2 linked regions of the Pelodiscus sinensis genome follow. The protein of the gene in region 2 interacts with the protein of the main gene of each other region in a pairwise test. Links are inferred from orthologs where the notes say so. Each region holds a gene or a part of one and is shown on either strand. Other genes may lie near its edges.

Region 1 (7,109 bases), on a different chromosome or scaffold from region 2:
GTTGGCTGCCTGCAGAGGGTTTGCAGCCAGGGCCTGGGGTGCCCAACCCCCTGAGTCCGGGATGAGCTCAGCTCTGCCTAACCTGGCTGGCTGTTCATCAGCGCGTGTTCCAGGGAAAAAGTCCGGAAGGAAAAAGAGCCGCTCATCACCCCGAGCAGGATGGAGGCAGCGTTTCTCTGGAAGGAACTGCCTGGAACGGGAATGGCTCAAAGATCACGCTGCTCCTGTGTCAGGGAAGTGCTCAGGAAGGAGTGTCACAAACTTGGCAGAGCTTTGAGGATCCCCAAATGCACGGGGAGCCCCCTTGCTTTGCACCCCCTCCCCTATTCGTACAGCACTGCAGCCCCCCAAACCAGGAACACTGCACGGGGCTCCCTTGGGAACCGTTCTGCTGCTCTGTGGTTTTGGAAACGTGCTCTCTCCCCCCAGAGGCCCCTAGATCCTGCCGCCCAGGGAATAAAGGAACCGGCCTGAGAAATAACATGGGCTCTGCCTCCCACTGAGGGACGGTCAGAACGAAACCGACAAAGCTCCACTCTGCACAGGGATGGAAATGCTTCCTCGACTGCTCCCGCTGCAGGGCCGAAAGGGGCGGTCTTGCCAGCTCTCGCTGCCCTGGTCTACGCCAGGGAGTGATTTCGAAATAGCAAGCGGAGCGTCCACTCTGCCAAGCTTATTTCGAGACCGGGACTCCTGCTTTCCTCGGGGCAGAGCGCTTGTTTCGCAATGGCCCTGCGGCCGCACCACCGCCGCCCTTTCGAAATAACCACTCCCCAGAGTCACTGCAAGTAAGGGCTCCTCAGTGCTCCCAAGGCGCTAAGTCGAGGAGCGCGTGCACAGTAACGGAGCTGCCTCGGACTCATGTCGAGGCTCCCCCTGTGGTGGGGACAGGCTGGTTCGACGGGGTGATTTCGGGAGGGATTTTGAACGATTTGGAAATCATTTCCTCGCGGTGCCCTGCCCGCTGGGACTCAGTGAGCGCAGCAAACTCTTCCGGCTAGATCCCAACAGGCTTCCTGTGTCTGGCTATATCTAGACTGCAGGCTTCTTTCGAAAGAGGCTCTTTCGAAAGAGAGCGTCTAGACTGCACGGAGAAATTTCGAAAAAGCGGCTTGCTTTTTCGAAAGAAAGCATCCAGTGAGTCTGGATGCTCTCTTTTGAAGAAGCCTTATTTACATACAAGAGGAACTTTCGAAAGAAGGCGTTCTTCCTCGTGAAATGAGGTTTACCGCCATCGAAAGAAAAGCCGCGTTCTTTTGAATTAATTTCGAAAGAACGCGGCTTGAGTCTGGACGCAGGGGAAGTTTTTTCGAAAAAACCCCTGAGTCTGGACACAGCCTCTGTGTGGACACCGACCCACCGTGTTCTGCATGGAGCCCGCGTGGGCCGGCCAGCTCCGGGCCGGGGCAGGGTGCCTTGCCAAAAACTTGGCACGCTACAAAGAAAGGTCCTATCCTGGCTCATCTCCTAGGGGCAGGCAGAGCAGCCTGGGAGCACTTGCGGCCAGCCCCTCCCCGGAGCACCTCCCCTGGCAGGGCGCCTGGTCACAGACGTAACAGGCGTGCGATATGAAAGAGAAACCAGGCTGCTGCCGCAGGGGACGGCCGCCTCTCCTTCCGCCGATTCACTTTGCTCTTGCCTTGACCCCCGATGGAAACCAGGGCCCTGAGCGCTCCGGGCTCTTGAGAATCTCTCCCAACACAACTCTGGGCAAAAGCTGGGGGGCTTGCCCTGGCGTGCTGCCAGATTGCAAGCCGGGGCTGCCACGCCTAGAATCCCGCGTCCCCCCCGGGGCATCCGTGTTCAAGCCAGACGGATTCAGGCTGGAGCAGGCGCAGAGAAGGGCTCGCAGGACGGTCAGGGGATGGGGGGGGGGGGAGCTGCCCTCTGAGCAGAGACGAGAGAGCTTGGCTTGATTCGCCTAGCAGGGGATCTGCCGGCCCCCTACAGCTACATCGGGGCTACCCCCCAGGAGGAAGGGCCACGTTGGCAGAAGAACAACCAGGCTCAACTGGCCAGGAGCAAATTGTAGCCACCGATGTCCTAATGTAGTGCCAGAAACGTGGGTGGATTTGCTCCAGTTGGCCGGCTCGCCGTGGGGCCAGCACAGCTAACAGGAGAGAGTAGGATCCGTGATGCTGGCTGGGAGCGAAACTCAGGGCTCCGGTGGGTTTGCCCCACGGCAATGGAAAGTCATTAGAAAGGGAAATTAGACGGGGGCGGGGCAGAATATGCCTGCTCTGACTCACCTGCAGCTGCTCTGTGCAGCTCCAGGTGGCCTTTGGAGTCAGGCCTCCGGGTCACCTTATTCTCAGCCTGCTTCTCAGTATAACACCCCGGTGCACACCCGTCACTCATCATGTGAAGAAGTGGGCTGTGCCCACAAAATGCACGATGCTGTCGATATTCTTTGTGAGTGTCGGAGCCCTACTCTGCACCGGGGAGTTAGTCCAACATAACCCCCCTTCTCTCGAAATAGCAAGCGGCGCGTCCGCATGGCCAAGCCTGTGGTTTCAAAATAAGGGGCTGGTTATTTCAAAATCATATCTCCTGCTTTCCTCCTGCTAATTTTGAACTAGTTCTTTCGACAGAGGGGCCGTGTGGGCGCGCCGCCGCCGCTCTTTCGAAATGACGACTCCCCCGAGCGGTTCGAAGCGATGACGCGCCAGTCGTGCTGGGGCTCGAAGGCGAGGCAGCGCGTCCACTTAAGGGAGCCTGCCTCCGACGCATTTCGTGGCTTCCCTGCCGGGTGGACACGCTAGTTCGAAAGAGTTATTTTGGGAGTTATTCCTTTGAAATGATTTCCTAGTGTAGACATGCCCCATGGGGCTACAGTGCCACTCGTCCTTCTTTACGTTATTTTAAGTTACAGGCTCTGCCAGCTGCCCCTCTGAGACCCGTCCCTGGTTCACGTGGGGGCTGGTGTGCGTGGCCTGTCACACATGGTGACAGGCAGGGTGAGTAGGGGTGCAGGGCGGTCACAGGCTGGCGCACTCCCGCCAGGGGCTCAAGACCACTGGCCAGGTGACCGTTGCAGACTCGCAGGCTCCATTTTGGGCTAGTGATTGGCACGGCAGCGAGGGGGGCGCAATCAGGCTAATCCAAAGTGAACCAGGAGACCTTGCAGGCACCATCTGCATGCACCAGGACGTGTGAGCGCCCGCGGCTGCCTCACACGGTCCCTGCCCTCACCGCCCTCTGCTTTGGGAGATCCGTGGGCAGGGCCGACGTATCCATTAGGCCATTCGGCACAGTGCCTAGGGCCCACGATGCTTTTAGGGGCCCACGAAAATGTTTTAATTTCTGTCTCAAATCAGAAGGAAAAAACTGAACTTTTAGGGTGGAAGAAAATGTTTTAATTTTTTTCTCACATCAGAAAAAAAGGAAACTTTTAGGGCCCACGAAAATCTCTTACATTTTGCCTAAAACAGAAAAGAAATAAAATGTTGACGTATTTAAAGTGAGATAAAAAATCATTTTTAGTATTGATATTATTATGGTGGGAGGGGCCCACGAAGACAAAAGTGCCTAGGGCCCACGAAAGTCATAATGCGGCCCTGATCCGGGGCGGGGCTGGCCCGCAACATTTTGGCACCTGGCCCACATGCTGGCACCGAGGCGGGGAGCTCAAATGACGTCCCCTGGCCCCCTCGCTTGGTCTCAATTGCGCCTCCTTCCTGTTCTGCTCCCCTCGTGGGGGCTCTCCTGCCTACCTCTGCGCCAGCAGCGGACACAATTTTCTACACTCTGGGTCCAAGTGGCGCCCCCCACAATCTGGCACCGCCTCGGTTCGCTCCATGGCGAGGCCGGCGTGTGCCGGGGGGCAGAGACCAGTCCGCCCGGCTGCCTCGCCAACAGCAGCAGGAGGCTGGGCAAGAGGGACTCGGAGCGGGGGAGGGGAGCGTTCACACTTAGACTCGCTCTGCACAGGGGCCGGTCCCAGTGCAGGGGGAGGGGCAGCTCTGGGGGCACCGTGTGGGTCACTAGGCGGCTGATCTGCCACATGAAGGGCAGGGCTCTGCCTCTCCCTTCCCCCCGCACAGAGGTTTGGCTCTGGGCTTGCTGTGCCAGATCCCCAAAGGCAGGCCGGGCAGGGGGGGGGTCCAAGCCCAGCAGCCGGCCGGGGAGGGGGGCAGTGCCCGTGTAACCCTGCTGTAATCCGGCGGCGGGTCTGAGTAATCCGGCGCGGCGTGGCGCAGTTCCGCTCGGCCGGGGTATTGCAAGCGCCCAGCGCCCGGTGTCATCATGGAAGGGAAAGCAAAGGGGCGGGCCTCGGGCGGGGATGTTGCAATCCGGAGTGAGTTCGGCATCAGCCGGCGCGGGAGAGGGCAGCCGGAGGGAGAGGAGAGCGGCAGGAAGATCGGCCCCGGCTGACGTGCCAGCCTGCCCCGGCGCCAGCCCCGCGCGTAAAGCCGCGGAGCCCGGCGGCAGCCCCCCGGCCGGGGCCAGGACCCCCGGCGCAGAGCCGCCCGGGACCATGGAGAACCGGGGCGTCTGAGACTCCGGGGGCAGGACCCTCCGGGCTCCCCGGACCCGGCCTGCGGCGGGATCGCTCCGTCCCCGCCCGAAGGTACAAAGCGGGGCGCGGGGCGCGGGGCGCGCTCGGGTTCCAGCCCGACTCGGGCGCTGCGGGGCTGGGGCGGAGTCGCCCTGGCCGGCCGGGATCGGAGCCGGCAGGGCCGGGCGGGCGCTGGAGGCTGCAGGGTCCGGGGAGCGGGCAGCGCGCACGGGTAGGAGCGGGGGGGGTCTGGCGGGGAAGGGCCCCCCATTGCCAGCCGGTGCCGGGAACGGTAACTAGGCGGCAGCCGGGCACTGCCCAGCGGGACGGGGGAGCGATCGGCGCCAGAGAGCAGGCAGGGCTCGGTGCAGGCAGCGGGGGGCTCACGGCTGGGGGGGCGCCCCCCATCGCCAGACACCCATTCACCGCTATTGTTACACCGCCAGACCCCCTCCCTGTCATGCGCTGACACACACCGGGACTCACCCCCCTCCCTGGCCAAACCCCCCCCCCCCGCACCCCTAGGCCGAGAGACACTGGCATGTGCCCCCTCCCATCACTGTGTTACATGGTGACACACCCCCATGGCGCTGGCACACCCGTGCACTCACCACGGGGACCCTGTGAGACACACGTGCGCTCACTGTTGTGACACAAGGGAGACACACGGCCATGACACACTCTCCCCATTATTACACTGTGAGGCAGTGTCATTACATCAGCAGCTGTGAATGCGCGACATCCTCAGACATGCCCCCCGGCGCAGCCTGGCTGGAGCCTTTGCCACTCTGGACAGGATGGCAGGGGGTGGCCGGTCGCTCCCCCGCGCAGACACTTCGCCGCTGGCTGGGGAGACACTCGCGCTTAGCGTAGGCCTGTCTTCCAGTCGGGGTTGTCTCTGTAGTTCATGAGGCCTGAGTTCCTCGCTCTGGGTGCCACAGACCTGCCCAGGGAGCAGAAGCATCTGATCAAAACTGAATGTTTAAGACTGTAAAATTGGAAATCAAGAGCTAAATATAGCACATCTGGAGAGTTCTCCGCAAACATCCACTCCATGTGCAGCAGCTGGCAAAAGAGCAAACAATGTTGGGAATCATTCGAAAGGGGATAGAGAATAGGACAGAATATCTCCTTGCCTCTGTATAAATCCATGGTAGCCCACATCTGGGAAAGGTTCAGAAAAGGGCAACAGAAATGATGCAGGGTTTGGAATGGCTGCCATTTGAGGGGAGATTAAAAAGACTGGGACTTTTCAGCTCAGAAAAGAGGAGGCTAAGGGGGGAGAGGACAGAGGTCTAATAAAATCATGACCGGTGTGGAGAGAGAGACTAAGGACAAGTTATTTACTTGTTCCCATAAGAACTAGAGGTCAACCATTGATATGAATAGGTAGCATGTTTAAAGCAAACAAAAGGAAGTTTTTCTTCATGCAGCACACAACCTGTGGAACTCCTCGCCAGAGGAGGTTGTGAAGACCAGGACTTGAACAGGGTTCAAAAAAGAGCTAGATAAATTCATGGAGGTTAGGTCCATCAATGGCTATTAGCCAGGCTGGATAGGAATGGTGTCCTTAACCTGTTTGAGAGGCTGGAAATGGGTGTCAGGGGAGGGATCACTGGATTATTCCCTGTTCTGTTCCCTCCCCTGGGGCCACTGGGCAGACAGGACACTGGTCTGGATGGGTCATTGGTCTGACCCAGCCTGGCTGTGTACGTATGTTCCCATGGCACATGGCCACTCCACCCAGGTCTCCCTGGCCAGGCGCTAGGTGCTCTCAGCACGCTGGGAAAGAGCTGTGCTCCTAGAGCGTCGTGGGGGCGGCACAGAGCAGGGGCCTCCCAGGTTCTCTCTCTAAGTGGCTAGCTTTGCGCTGCAACCGCTTCATCTTCTTGTGCTGCAGATGAGCCTGAACGTCCAGGTGATCCCTGCGGTGTCTCCGCTGAGGAAGAAGCGGCTGGACTTCGAGGACCCCCCTGATTCGGAGGCCCCGAAGCCCAAGCGCCCCCGGTTGAGTCCGGTGTCAGGGCTCACGCCATGCCTGCAGCCCCTCGCCCGGACCCCGTGTGCTGCGGACCAGGACTCCAGAGTCCTGCAGATTGGCCCGTACATCCTTCTGGAGCCCCAGGACGGGGGCCGCTCCTACAGGGCGGTGCACAGGCCCACGGAGACGGAGTACAGCTGCAAGGTACAGTGGGGTGATGGGGCCTGGCCTTGCTCCCCCGGAGCAGGACATCGGAGCCTGACGCTACGGAGAGTACGGGCCGGGGGGCAGGCTGTGGGATCCGGGTCGTTTTGGGGGAATGCTGCTGAGAGCCCCCCGGGGACTCCTGCACAGCAGTTTGCCCTGCACCAGCCTCCCGGGCAACAGCCCGTTTTGACTGGCAAAGGGGGCTAGTGGCCCTCGGGGGCCCCACGGGCTCTGGCTGCAGAGAATGGCATTGGCAAAGGGGCGGCCACAGCTGTCCCTGCCCCCCCCCCCCAGTATCAGCTCCACCTTCCAACCTGTGGGCCATGGGAAAGGACTGGGCGTCTGCGAGCGGCCCGGATGGGGAGACGCCAGACCCATCCCTCCCTTTGCCTTGCTCTGCCTGAGCAGTGCTGCCTCCTGGTG
Region 2 (7,540 bases):
GGCCAGATTCGGCCCGCGGAGGCTCTTTTGCCCACCCCAGTGTAATTGACATTTCCAATTTCAAAAGAAGCTATGCAATTGATGTAGCTCAATTTGCGTAGCTTATTTTGTGTTAAACCCTGCTGTATATACGCATCGTAAGGAATCTGTTTTGAGGTTTTTGAGTTAATGATGAGAAAAGACTCTTGCATTTTCCAGCTTGTTTTCTCCCATCACTGAAAAACAACCAAAGGATTTTTACTTTAAGGGAAAAAAAATCTTTTTTTCTAATAAGAATTACCTTCACAAAGGAGATACATTCAGCAAGTTCTGTGCAAAGGCAAAAGGGTGCTTTAACGTGGAACTCTGTATAACTAATTTCTACAAGCATCTAATAAAAAGCATCTATTATAGTCATCTAGGTAACTAGGAAATAATCTTGAAGTTAACCAATGGCTGTTTTTTGGAGTTTTGAGAATGTATTTTTGTGGGGGGTTTTGGGTGGGGGAAGTGTGAAGAGATGGAAGATGTCTCTCTGGAACCTTTCACTGTGCTAATTTCATGCACAAAGAAAGCTAAGTAGATGAAAAACCGAAACAGGATAATCCGGGTGAAGTTCCTTGTTGCGCATTTCATATTTGCTTATGTGAGTCTGGCTCTGCCGTACAGTGACTCCTTTCATGAAAATCCTTAATTAGCTTTTCAAGAGGGAGGGTAGGGTGTGTATATACTTTCCACTGATTTGGCTATAAAGACAGCATTACTTAAAATGGGGAAGGGGGTGGATCAAGGTTAAGGGATGTGAAAGCCTTCCCGTCAGCCAATCCCCATGCTACACTGATATCCACCCCCCTGCCCCTCCAATCCCTTGTTTGGCTTCTTTGTTTCACTGCCTCCCCTCCATTCTGTACTGAAACTCAGTGAGCTCCTTGATGCATTTTTTTTTCAGACCAGTCGTCATGGTTCACTGAGCTGCTATTGTGATGTCTTCTGAGATGTAGGGCAGTTTCCCCTCCAATGACTCAAAATGTTATTTTGCTCTTAAAAGAAAAAAAAATACCTTGTATACGTGGTACATTTCCACTCAGCAAAGCGGTTCCTATTGTGCATTTGGAGGATTTTGTGCTGACTTCAGTGATGATAAGGTTGCATTGCTTTCTTGCTCTTTTGCTGGCTTTGCAGGGCTGTGTGGGGGAGCAGGCTGGACACAATTTGTCCTTGAGGATTATCGCTAAAATTGTTTACTAGGTTCCAGTAAGTTACAGCTGTGCAAACCCAATGAAGGCCATGAGCTTCCACGAGTGTTCCTAAAGTCATAACTGGAAGACAATAGGGTTGCTGCCAGAAGTAGCTGAAAGCACAAGTTTGTTGTGCAAAACCTTTATTGCTGATTATGATTATACGAAGCTGCTGCTGTTGATCTTCCAGAGTTCGAATTAGCAGTGTATTTAAGATAGTTAATTCGAAGTGAGAGGGGCACTCCGGTTGATGCTGCCAACCCTGCTTTCACAAGGAGTAAGGGAAGTCGAAGGAAGAGTGTTCTTCCTTTGACTTCCTGCAGTGTAGAAAGCGCCAAAAATTGAGTTAAGGTACTTTGACTTCAGCTACGCAATTAATGTAGCTGAAGTTGTGTATCTTAACTTGTCCTGTAGTGTAGACAAACCCCCAGAGTCCAAACTGTATAGCAGGGATTGACATCCTATGGCACGTATGCCACTTATGGCATGTGAGCCGATTTTAAGCAGCATGAGGGAGGGAGCTCAGCCCTATCGCCTCCTTCCCCGCTGCTACTGTGGCGCACACAGTTGGGGCCAGCCCTGGAGGCTGGAGGCAGTGGGTCCTCTGGGGCTGGCTCCTGTCTGTGGTGGAAGCGTCAGTGGGGCCTGCAGGTTGGCTCAGGACAGCATGGTTGCAGCAGTTGTCAAGTAAGTGTCCCTCCTTATGCCCAAACCCCCACATCCCAATCCCCCTCACTCACCTCCCCCCACCAAGACCCTACACTTCCAGCTTGCTCCAATGCCCTCACTTGTTCCTGCATCCTCTCTCCTAGCTAGACACTACACCCCTATCTTGCTCCTGCACCCTCCCTCCTGGCCTGGCCAGACACATAGCCCCACCCTGCTCCTGTATCCACCATTGCTCCTGTACGCTCTCTCTGGCCACACACTGCACCCTCCCTTGTCCCTGCTCTCTCCACCAGCCGACATCCTACTCCCAGCCTGCTTCTGCACCCCACCTCCCAACTTTTCCCCCTTCTGCACCCCATACCTATCCTACTTGCTGGCAACTCTGTCTCACACACTAAACCCCTCATTTTTGTCCCTACTCCAGAACCTAAGGGGGTTCATAAAATCCTCCAATTCCAGAATGCCAGAAAAGTAAATCTGGCCTACAGGAAACCCTGAACCTCAGTCCTCCCTGTTCCTTCCCCTTGCCCTGTGAGGTTGGAGCACTAGGGAGTGAGGTGTTTCAGTTGGGGGCTATATCAGTGAGGGTTAGTAGGGTTTTTTTGCTTCTCACTGTGTGGTCTCCAACTGGTTTTTCTGTGGGTCAGTGGCTCCCCAACTCAAAAAAGGTTCCCTATCCCTGCCATAAACAAAGAAAACATTGAAACCTTTTGTGTTGGACATAATATTTTACTTTAAATAAGGTGAAGTTTAATAAACTAACATGAGAAAGTTAAATGCTTAATCTGTTTCATAATTTAAATTGAACTGTTCTCCCTAGCTGCAGCTGGTTCAGAAAATATGGTCACCGTACCCAGATCAGTGAATAAGTTAAATCTGGCATATCACTTCTGAAAGGTTGCTGACCCCTGCTGTACTGTATGGTTAGCAATATGGAAAACATGTAATTATATCTGAATGCACCTCAAACAGCAAGGGGCGGGGGGCAACAGAAGAGGGGACAAAGCTAGCATGGCAGAGAGAGGGGTCATAGAAGAACAGGTTGCCCTAGTGGCAGGACTGGTAGAGCAAGGAAATGGGCAACAGGGGTGGGGATGAAGGGAAGTGAGAGACAGTTAGGGGCAGGATGGCACAGCAGGGAGGGGAAAGTGAGGAGCAGTCCTGGCACAGGGAGAGAAGTGCTGTGGGGGAGTAAGAAGTGGTGGGGAGGGGAGGAGAAAGCTGGCACAGCAGCCCAAGAGCAGGGAAAGTGGGGACAGAGTTGGCACAGATAGGGTTGCCAGGTGTCCGGTTTTGAACCAGACAGTCCGGTTTTTGAGCTTTCTGTCCGGGAAACAAATTGAGAAAATACCGGACATATAAATGTCTGGTATTTTCTAATTAAGTAAGTTTTATTATCATGATTATCAGTACATAGTTGCGTACTGCGTGAGCGTGTGTACTCACCAGGCAGTATACAATTACACAATAGAGAGGAGGGGGGCGGGGCCGGGATGGAAGGCCAGGACTGTGTGAGGGATGGGCTGCACCCCAGGATCTATGTTTGCCTGGACCAGCCCTGCTTCCTCCCAACCTCCTCTGGGCCAGCCCTGCTTCCTGCCAGCTGTGCCCTGCTCCCCTCCCAATCGGTCCCCACCGCCATCTGAGATCAAGTGTGTTGGGTATTTTTCTGAAAACATCTGGTAACCCTAGGCACAGAAAGGATGTGAGAAAATGGGGGTGGTGGTGAGGTCAGAGCTGGTACAGCAGGGGAGGCAGGGTGAGGAAGTCACAGGGCAAGACTAGCATGGCAGTGGAGCGCTGGGGGAGCAGCGGGTGCTGCAGCAAAGGGAGGGGCTGTGGAAGAGCAGGGGGCACAGGAGGGCAGGGCTGTGGGCAAAGAGGCAGCGGTGGGGGCTGGCGGCAGGGCACGAATGCAGGGGTGGGCGGGGAGAGGAGCTGTGGGGTGCAAGGCTGGCACTGTGGGGTAGGGGATGAGAAGGGGCACTGGGGGCAGGGCTAGCACTGGGGGGGATGAGGAAGTGGGGGGAGCACAGGGCTGGCGCTGCAGGGAGGGGGGCGAGCTGGGGGCAGGGCTGATTGGGCGGCTGACGTTGCAGCTAGCCGCCTCGCGCCCCCTCTCCCCCTTCAGCCGAGAAGCGCAGCTCCTGGGCCTGCAGTTTGCATCGCTCTCGCTCTAACCAATGGTAGCTCACAGCGCACGTGAATTTGCGGTATCAGCCAATCAATGCTTCACATGCCCACGTGGTGATCCCCGTGCCGCGCCGAGCCCACCGGTCTGTGCCAGACCAAAGGCGGGAACATCCCGCCCGCGCCAGTTTCTGCGTGGCGTGACGTCACTTCGCGTCAATGAGGCATAGAGTCAGGGTGATGGGTACACTGCACAATATAGCCCCCTGTAATTCTTCCGCCGAGTGTTGGCTGGTCCCCTCGGCAGTGCGCGTGACCACGCGAATCACCTCTCCCGTCCCCGGGAGTCTTCCGGCAATCGGGGGATGGCAGCGGGGCACAGAGCGCTGCGCACCACCCGGCATTTGTGAGCGCGCGCGGTGAATCTGGCGGAAGGATACAGCGAAACCGGATCTCATTTTGTGGGGGGGAGGGGAAAAGGGCGGTATATAAGCGGGGAACGCGCGAGCCACCCTCTCATTGTCTGTCTGTCTAGTGCGTCGTGTGTTCTGTGCGTGGGCGCAGGCGGGACCCGACCCGGAGCAGCCTTGCCGCCGCCGCCATGGCTTGGTAAGGGCGGCAGGGCCAGCAGCGGCATCGGCCAGTGCAGCGGGCGCAGCAACAGCAGCGGCGTCCACGGCCCCTCCCCGGCATCTGCAGCCATGGCGTGAGTATGGGGGCGGGGCGGGGCCCCCCATCGGCAACGATCTGGCCGAGTGGGAAAGGGGCGTAAGTGAGCCGGGAAGCCCTCCCCCCCCCATGTTAGCGAATGGCTTTTCCCGCGGGGGGTGGGCCGAAATGGTATAGCCCGTAGGGGAGTGAATTGGTCGCTCCCGAAGGAGGGACGCAGGGACGGGCCTTGGGACGCTCCATTGCGCCCTTCCCTCCCTGCCCTGCTAGGGAGCGCGCGAGTTGCTGGGAGGCACCATATGGAGTGGGATGGGGGGGGGGGGTGAATTCCTGTGATCCGCTTAGCCCGGGAGAACCCATTCCTTATGGAAGGGGGGGGCATTGCGGTGGATTGTCCCTCTCGCCCCTGCTCCTCGCGCTTGCGGGTCCCTGGGGCTCCGCTGTTGGGGGGCGGGGGGAGCGAGGCTGCAGCTGGGGGCTGCCCATTCAGCTTCCCGCTCCCCTGTGCGCCCTGGCGGGGTTTGTAGGCGAAGTCCCACGTTCTCCTCCGATGCCCGCTCTAGGGCTGCAGGGAGCGTTTCCCTTCCCGCTGTGTCGCGCCGCTTTGCTCCTGGTCCGCCTGCTAGATGCCAGGTGCTGCCCCCGTGGAAACGTGGCAGGATACACAAAATGGCCGCCTATTGCTAGGGCGGGGTGAGCGAGCACACAGGCAGGAACGCGAAATGGCTGCAGCAGCTGGCATAGGCGCAAGTCCAGCAATGCAGGCATGAGTCACAGCAGATGGGTGGGAGGGGCTCTCGCAGGAGATGTGACCATATTTGGTCATGAGGAAACTTGAGTGGCCCTTTCTGTTGAGACTTCACAAGCACCATCTTAGTTACCAGATGGCGCTATTGGGGTGAGAGTTCTGAGACCGGCAAGAAGGGTGCAAAATGCAAAAATGTGGCTCACAGGAGATCCTGAAAAGAGGGAAACCCCAGTTTGGTTAGTGTTCCATAACATGGTTTATATAGTTGAAAACTCCCTTTTTCCACCAGTAGAAAACATACAGTTTAAGTCAAATCACACAAATGGCTGTGCTATATAACAGATGATCTTCTGTCTTTAATTCCAGGTTTTTCAAAGCACCTCACAGCAGCATTGCTGTAATTGACAAAGACACCTACTCATCTACATTCTTTGAGCAAAAAGCATTAACATTTGACCAAGATGAGCCTCTTGAACACGGATATGCTGTTGGGGGGTTTAAAGTCCCCCTTCAGCCAGTGGTGTTTGGTGGCTGAGGAAAGTCTGGGACTTCTAGATGACTACCTGGAGGTGGCCAAGCCCCTCAGTTCGCATGGGTTCTCCAGCGACAAGGCTAAGGCAGTCTCCTCCAATTGGCTGGCTGAGGATAGTTTGGGCAAAACCACAGATGACAGCCAGGGTAAGGCATTACTTTATTCTCACAGGATTATAGTGTTCAATTAGCAAGTGTTTGCATATCTCATCATTCATTGATGTTGATCAGTGAGCTATTTAAATGGATGAAAAGCAGTGTATTGAGAATCAAGAGCATCTCCATCCCTGTTCCGTATGTGGCTCAAAAGGCTATTCTTTGGGGAAGGAGCCTACAACATGCGAATGTGTTGCTTTCAGGTAGCTCTTAAAATCTTTCCAATTCTATAGAGCTTGAAGGAACCAGAGAAATGGCACGTTACAAATCACTATCAGGAATATTTTGTCCTTTTTTAGTAAAGCTCTGCAACCCACTCCACAATAAATATCAGGTGGGGAAAACAACCACACCAGCTTGGAGTCAGGTTGATTCAGCATCTTGGTCCAATCGGATATCTCATTGCTGTGGAGTGTGCACAAAGGATAGGAGTGGAGCTGCCAAACTTCTGATTTTTCTGTAACCCCGTAAGGAGGGGAAAAGAGTGAAGCTGAGCTGGGGTTAGGACCCTTTTGGATCAGGTGGGTTTGGGTCCAGTCTGGGTCAAGCTTAATTAATCTGGAGCAGACATCTATTGTTTAGAACATATGATTAGATTTGTCTATCAGAGAAATGAATGGAGAAAAAATCCACAATATAGCATGCAGTTTTTTCAGTAGCCTTTTGAATTGATTGTGTGACTGCTGTACTCGTATGGTAATTGTTTCCCCATGTTGCAGAGGATGCCTTCTCTGGCATGGATTGGATGGTGGAGAAGATGGATCTGAAGGAGTTCGACTTTGATGCCCTGTTAGGAATGGATGACTTGGAAACCACCGTCTCTCCAGATGAGCTCATGGCCACGTTGGAAGACACGTGTGATCTATTAGACCCTCCTACCCAGGAAATTCCCAACAAAGAACCTTCACTGATAACTGACCCAATCATTCATCACCCTGAATCTCCAATTGGAGTAGATCAGGTGGCCTCACTTGCCCCCCTTCTGCCTCTTCACCTCTCTCCAGAGTCCTTGACTTCTACTCCAGACCATTCATTTAGTTTAGATCTAGGTAGTGAAGTTGATGTACTGGAAGGAGACAAAAAAGCAGAAGCCACCACATTCGTGGTGGTGGTGATCCCCAAGTTTGAGAAAGAGGAGGAAGTACATTCAGATAATGATAGTGGAATATGTATGAGCCCAGAGTCTTATCTGGGGACACCCCAACACAGTCCAGTCACCTCTGTAGAATCGTTCAATGACAGCCAGTTTCCTGCAGACCCCATTTGTGGTTCTATGCGGCCCAAACCATATGATCATCCTGTAGAGAAAGTAGTGTTGGCAAAGGTGAAGGGAGAAAAAAGGGTTGATAAGAAATTGAAGAAAATGGAGCAGAATAAGACAGCTGCTACACGTTATCGGCAGAAGAAAAGAGCAGAACAG

What was found. The genes of interacting proteins can lie anywhere in the genome.
Region 1: the proteins of ATF4 (region 2) and TRIB3 interact in binary tests that used the Homo sapiens proteins (3 or more experiments, as listed by UniProt). The link is inferred for Pelodiscus sinensis from reciprocal best matches to the Homo sapiens genes ATF4 and TRIB3.

The regions. Positions count from the first base shown.
Region 1 is NC_134728.1:2,015,958-2,023,066, forward strand, and holds the start of TRIB3 (tribbles homolog 3), read left to right. Parts: upstream 1-4,093; 5' UTR 4,094-4,570; intron 4,571-6,398; coding exon 6,399-6,683; intron 6,684-7,109. UniProt on the Homo sapiens protein: Inactive protein kinase which acts as a regulator of the integrated stress response (ISR), a process for adaptation to various stress. Inhibits the transcriptional activity of DDIT3/CHOP and is involved in DDIT3/CHOP-dependent cell death during ER stress.
Region 2 is NC_134711.1:90,961,913-90,969,452, reverse strand, and holds the start of ATF4 (cyclic AMP-dependent transcription factor ATF-4), read left to right. Parts: upstream 1-4,527; 5' UTR 4,528-4,722; intron 4,723-5,799; 5' UTR 5,800-5,894; coding exon 5,895-6,111; intron 6,112-6,839; coding exon 6,840-7,540. UniProt on the Homo sapiens protein: Transcription factor that binds the cAMP response element (CRE) (consensus: 5'-GTGACGT[AC][AG]-3') and displays two biological functions, as regulator of metabolic and redox processes under normal cellular conditions, and as master transcription factor during integrated stress response (ISR).